2 linked regions of the Danio rerio genome follow. Each later gene encodes a partner of the first gene's protein in a complex. Links are inferred from orthologs where the notes say so. Each region holds a gene or a part of one and is shown on either strand. Other genes may lie near its edges.

Region 1 (2,537 bases):
ATTTGCATTAGCAATCTGCAGCATGTTTTTAGGAGCCCTCCTCCACCTCAGTTCCATTTGTGTATAGATCTGCTATTGGGGAATTAATGTATGTTGTGCTTGCAGCAGGAGTGTGATATATTCTTAGACAGAGTGTCTGTGAATATATAGAGTCTTGGTAATCAAAGCAGCAGCAGCATAGCAGATCTATTCCACCAAGACCAAACGAATAAACAGTGCCATTTTTATATACTCATTACTCTCTCCAAATCCTTTCAACACCAAAAGAAGCATTGCATCGACGCAGGTAAGGAAAATCTTACATATATACCCTAAAGGACTAGTAACATTATGCAAAAGCCTGTTTGAGCATGACATTCCATCTTTGGTCAACGGGGATGAGAAAGTAAACTCTAAATGAGGTGATGCCGTAAATATTTATATGGACATACTGAATGAACAAAGCCTTTTTGCTCAATCACAGATTCCTAAGCGCCCTCGCCTGAACCTAAACGCCACAATCCCTTCCTCAGATGGCGGTTGTGATCTGTGTCAGTCCCAAGTCATTGGAGTCCTCTCGACCATGAAAAGATGACAGCTCCACGGCTAGTCATACGGGTCGACCCTGGCCTCCATCATTTTTGGCCTCTGCTGGGCACGTGTGCTCTCGGAGAGTGCTTCTGACCCGACTAACCCCACGCCCGTCGCCTGCAGTCCGACCTGGGCAGCAGAAGTCCCTAAAGCAGCGCTTGAAGTTCTCATCAAGGAAGGCGTACAGAATGGGGTTCAGGCTGCTGTTGGTGTACCCCAACGCCACACAGAAAAAGTAGGCAGCCATGACCGATGTGGTCTCCGGCACACCGTGCGAAAGAGCTTTGACCAGGATGAAGATGTGAATGGGGGTCCAGCACACAACGAACACTGCCACCACAACCAGAACCAATCGAGTGATGCGTCTCAAGTTGCGATCTTTTTCACGTGAACCTGAAAGCAGGCGAACGCTCTTGAGGCGCAGAACCATGAGAGTGTAGCAAACGGTGATGATGAGAAGAGGAGCCACGAAGCCAAAGATGAAGACGCAGATCTTCATCAATGTGTCCCAGTAGACATACGGGTCTGGAAACTGCAGAGCACACTCTGTCGTGCCTGCGGATCAAATATGAAACAACAGCGGTTAATTATTAAGCAGAAGTGAGGACAGGTTAATCATGCTTGCTATAATAAGTAGGAACAACAAACACATCAGGATGAAGTGAAGAACTGACTGTCCCATCTATTATTAGAAGAAGATTTGGGATTGTTTTGGTCCCCCTGAGTAAAGTAGGGTAAATTATATGACTGTTCGTATTACATGAACCTCAAAGGCTGGCAAGGAACATCATTTCAAGCCCTATAGTCATGTGTTGAACCAAGAATTTATACCATTAAAATCTAACCGTCAATTTAGAGTCCCACGTTTTAATGAGGTGAAATTAAAAAAATTATTTGTATATCAGGCTATCTTGGAGCTGAATAAGGCCCATGTAAAATTAATTATTATTATTTTTGTATGTCTTTGTCTTTTTGTAAGAAGCATTTATCATGCTGTTATGCAAGAACAAATTCAGATGCAAGTCTGACAATAAAGTATTGTATTATTGTATTATTCTCTTGAATAGATAATAGGTTGATTTGTGATTTCTTTTGGATGTTTTATATGATAGAAATGTATGATATTAATGTTCTCTGACATTTTGAGTTTCAGCATGTTATTGAGTTAATCTACTGAATTTGCTGTTTTTAAATATTAATGTTCTAGAAACAGAATCTTATTAAACAAATTGAGATGTAAATTTTATATATTATTTATATGCATCATTTATTGTTGGCTTTTTCTTTGAAACCTCCTAATAAACATTAAAATGAATCCTCTTTGCCAGATATAATGAAGGCATCAAATAAACCAAATGAAAATGAAGGCGCAGAAAAAACAGATAAACAATATAACCGTCGATGTTGCAGCAGCTAATAGGCATCAGTCGATGTCTTAAAACTGCTAAGTTTATTGTACAAATTGATAAAACTATTTTATATAATGCAGGCATAGGATGTGTAAATATCCTGTTAATATTTAGAAATCTTACTGTTTTTATCTTTTGCTAATATAACCACACACAATTTTTCCCACATGGCCAATAGCTGTCCGTGTTGTGAATATTTTCAGTCCTGTTTATTGCTGAATAAAAATAAAAACCTTTCTAATAATGTAGAGTTGTTTTTATATTATTTTTATGCCTATGAAGATAATAAATACCAACAACTCATTATAAGAGAAATATTTATTGTCCTCATAGCTGAGTCTAACTTAGGCTAGAGTGTATGAAAGATCAATTATTTTGCAGTCCAACATATATTCTATTTATTAAATTATAAAAAAAACTGCTTAAATCACACAGTTTTTAAATAAATCTTAAATTATTACATGTTTTTAAATGTAAGTGCTTATATTTGTTTTAGCAAGCCTCTGCAGTGTAGATACAGGCGGTCAAATAAGAAGTTCGGGGGTGTGTGGTTGATTT
Region 2 (4,211 bases), on another chromosome or scaffold:
ACTTAAACACTCTCGTGAGAACTTTCAGATGGACAGTTCCTGACAAGGTTTATCATTTTTGAGTATAAAAAGGAGGATTATATCTGTCCTAAATCGTTAATGTTGCAAATAACATAACAATGCAGCTTTGAATGTGGCATTAAGCGGAAAAACAAAGTTATTAATTACCTTTATTTTTAGATTAGTTAGAAAAACTTCACACAAAACATTCCCCAAACAATTTTAGCAGGTAAACTTTTTTGCCCTTTATTGGTCATCTTAAACAAGCATTTTCTGCAGTATGTATTGATTGCTTACATATGGGGAAAAGTCAACGGGTGCTATTTTAGGTTTTGATGACTTAGTGGCTAATTCATAGGAAAATATCTACAAAAAAAGAGCGAGCTGGTCATACAAATATATCCACTAATTCACCAAAACCTAAAAAGCAGTTACGAATTGCCATGATATATTGTGTTGCAGAGCACATGATTTACAGGTCGACAGGTGATTGACGGCGTTCAGAAGTCAGCAGCCATTTGGGGATAGTAAAACAGCCTCAACACGCGTAAGATCAAGGTGGAAACAACTGGAATACACTGGCAAAAATGAGTTCTAGTTGAGTTATCAATGATACAACAGCCTATAAAGCATAGTCCTCGTACGATGAGGGCTCTTCGTCAGAGCGCACGGAGATTTTGAAATGGCGTCGTAAAAACCCGCCATATCGCTTTTGGTTGTCCCACCTCAACTTAGGACGAATTCTTCTCATAAAACCACCATATCTCTTCTGTAACACCTGTGGGTTGGTGTCATCCACGAAGTAGCTTCGTTTTGGACCGAATTTGCGAAGAAACCCGCCGTAACGTTTGACTTCGTTTAATGGAACTTCATTATCGTAAACTCCCGTTTCGTTTTCCGCCCCCATATCTTCGCCCTCGTCGTCTTCCGTTATCGACGGTAGGTCTCGCTCGCCCAGTTTCGACAGAGATTCTCCGTATTTCTTCGCGAACAGTCCTTTCAGTATGGCGTTCTCTTTCCAGGGTGAAGAGAAAAACTTATTTTTATTCTTGTCGATCCTCTTGATGAATCCCCCGTATCGTTTTACCAGGTTGGAGGTCTTCTCTTGGAGGTCCTCATCTGTGTTTAACGCGTTTGTTTCTCCGTCTGCGCCTGTATTGAGCTCCGCTAAATCATCTGAAAGCCCCTGTAAAGCCTTCTCACATCTGTCAAGTGTACCGGTAGGCGGAACGGCTCCTTCACACTCTAAAGTACAAGTCTGGAAGAAGAAAAGGAGGTTTAACTGGGCTCGACACTTTCAGAGTTGCCGCCAAAATTAATTCACAGTCAAATACCGACAAAAATGAACCCAAAACAGTTCAAGGATGAAGTACACAAATTGTAGAGCATAATTAAACATTAAAGTTTTTTATGTAAAAATACCAACACATTAGAGTTTTTTTTTATTAGGAACTGCATTAGTTTGCTAATAAATAGATTCAATATCACATTTCAAGTTCAGAACATTTTATTTCATTTCATTTTCTTTCCGGCTTAGTCCCTTTATTAATCAGGGGTCGCTACAGCGGAATGAACCGCCAACTTATCCAGCATATGTTTTACACAGCTGATGCCTTTCCAGCTGCAACCCATCACTGGGAAACATCCATACACAATCATTCACCTACATAGCCTACATACGGAGAATTTAGCTTACCCAGTTCACCTATATCGCATGTCTTTTGACTGTTGGGGAAACTGAAGCACCCGGAGGAAACCCACGCGAACACGGGAAGAACATCCACACATAAATGCCAACCGACCCAGCCGAGGCTCAAACCAGCCACCTTCTTGCTGTGAGGCAAATGTGCTACCCTCTGCGCCATCGTGACGCCTAACATTTTATTATTTACAATAGAAAAAAAATCACATCTGAAAGTGCAACCTATTCTTTTTAATATATATTAATCATATTACCAAAAGCCATATCTGATATTTCCCCAACTGGTTTCTCCAAGCTTTTTGATCTAAAGGAGCGCGTAATAGCCGCGCTCTCCATGGTGCTGAATGCGCGCGCCTCAAATGAAAAGCGCACAGTTTTATTGGAAACCAAATGGTCTTAATACACAGATCTTTCTATTAATTAAATAATTGCTTAATATAGAGTTGATTTAGTTTATAAGTAATTTTTCAATAGTTTAATAAAATACATAAAGCTTTTTTAAGATTATGTTTTCAATGTTTACACCTTTGATTAGCATAGAACATATACAGATCCAATAAGTTTAATTTGTCAGCCAATTTTGGCTTTTTAGTCTTGTGTTAACCCTAAATTAAGCGCACGTAAAACTCAAAATATAGGGATAATAATCTTACCAAGCGGTTCACCGCAGAGTCCAAATCGGAGATCTGTTGCGCGCATCTCAGGCATTGCGCTGAACAATCTGCCTGGCTCAAGGTTGGAAAGCTCAGCATCAACACCAACACATACCACTCCATCATCGACAGTGATTCCTGTGGTGCGAGAGAACAAAAGAAAAGAGGATTTAAATAAACAATATTCCACTCAGGATCCACTTTATCCTCTCAGCTGTTAGGATGCTTTTAGAGTTTTTTTTATTTTTATTTCCAACCATTCATCAATGTTGTTGACTTGTCATCTTACAAATATATTATTTACACACAGTTCAACACAAAATCTGCTCAGTTACCTTGATTACCTACAGAGCTTATCTCGTTCTCCAAGCGTCAAGGCGATCACTTGGGGAAACTTCTTTGTTCTCCTGTCTTTTGCTGGAGTCACTCGTTATCCATCCACGGTTTGCTCTTATTTGGACTCAACCCAGCCTTCATACTTTTATTCACGCAGCCCACACAGCTGTCTGAATGAACGATGGTCTGACCAATGGAAACAACGAGCCATTTGATTGACTGATCCCACCCACGTAATGAGGGTAAAATATTGACGTTATTCTAATATAAATAATACAGATTTAAAAATATTTGAGAAGTGCATAGTGGTTATAAATGGTTTGTGTTCAAGTAGTTTAAATTACACTTCAATTGCATAAATTAGCCTATATTCTTTTAAATAAATATATGAAATTAAATTAAAAATACCCACTTTGACGAGGAGTATGTTGGTAACTTGTATTATTAAGAAGCATCATTAACTCAAGCCTGAGTGCTCCTCTTTTCAAAGACTTCCATTTTCACTTAGCAAGTCCTTGATTGAAATTTCAATGACATAAATCACAGTTTGATTCAAATACTCAATATCCAGACCAAAGCATGGGTTATATATCAGTTCCATGAAAATATAGCCTTTTTCCTGCTTTAACCTCTAACAATCCGGATGTTGTACCGGCTGGCATTGGGTAGCATTCCGTTTATCATGCATATCGTCCTGTTTCTGGAACTCCACAATTCAGTGTATTGGACGTTTCAAGGAAAGCTGTAGCCTAGCAAGATACTGCAGTGCATTGCAAATATGGTTAAAATATCACTCATTTCCATTGAGTCATGAATTACTACTCGCACAATCATCACAATGTTCTTAAAACATCTTTTAATAAATTATAATGGGCTTATGATATGCAGTTTTTATAAAAACAATGTTAATTAATGCCAAACAATTATGTTTTGATGTAATGCATTTAAATGAGAAACCTACATACAAAGTACCAGTAGCACTGACTATTTTGAAACAAGCATGATTAAGATTAATTATAATAAACAATATTTTATTGATGTATGGTTTGTTTGGACAATGTTTGGCTGAGATACAACTATTTAAAAACCCAGAATCTGAGAAAATCACATTCAAATGCCGTCTACATGATTTTCTTAGCTATATGCACATTGCTATGCTAATAAAAACCATTTATTTTGATGTATTTATAGTATTAAATTGACATATTAATGGAACAAATGCCTAATATTCCATATAAAACTGTATATTCTAGAAAAAAAAATCTAAATTTGACTTAGGTTATACAATGTATTTTGCCAAAACTATAGGCTACCAGTGTAATACGATGGCCCAGCGCCATATATACCTTTAAAGATGGCTATGTTGTGAGCTAAATGGGTGGCTAATCAATTGTATATATTTTGTTTCTCATCTGTTCGCATGAATCAATATAAAAACCCAGTTTAATAGGTGAATCCCCTCAGAAAAACGGCATTAATCTCGACGAAGAGCAGGAAACTCCACCAGTCTGTGTGTTATT

Evidence for each region. Proteins that work in one complex are often made in the same cells at the same time.
Region 2: the proteins of oprk1 (region 1) and pdyn are in contact, whole or in part, in a cryo-EM structure (PDB 8F7W), measured with the Homo sapiens proteins. The link is inferred for Danio rerio from reciprocal best matches to the Homo sapiens genes OPRK1 and PDYN. Residues at the interface, in NP_000903.2 of Homo sapiens: Thr111, Gln115, Trp124, Val134, Ile135, Asp138, Tyr139, Met142, Lys200, Glu209, Cys210, Asp216, Tyr219, Lys227, Val230, Phe293, Ile294, Glu297, His304, Ala308, Leu309, Tyr312, Tyr313, Ile316, Tyr320; in NP_001177821.1 of Homo sapiens: Tyr207, Gly208, Gly209, Phe210, Leu211, Arg212, Arg213, Ile214.

The regions. Positions count from the first base shown.
Region 1 is NC_133177.1:33,844,802-33,847,338, reverse strand, and holds the end of oprk1 (kappa-type opioid receptor), read right to left. Parts: intron 1,126-2,537; coding exon 590-1,125; coding exon of another isoform or gene 509-589; 3' UTR 501-508; downstream 1-500. UniProt on the Homo sapiens protein: G-protein coupled opioid receptor that functions as a receptor for endogenous alpha-neoendorphins and dynorphins, but has low affinity for beta-endorphins.
Region 2 is NC_133198.1:45,171,412-45,175,622, reverse strand, and holds pdyn (proenkephalin-B precursor), read right to left. Parts: upstream 2,801-4,211; 5' UTR 2,691-2,800; intron 2,494-2,690; 5' UTR 2,482-2,493; coding exon of another isoform or gene 2,479-2,481; coding exon 2,356-2,478; intron 1,259-2,355; coding exon 623-1,258; 3' UTR 226-622; downstream 1-225.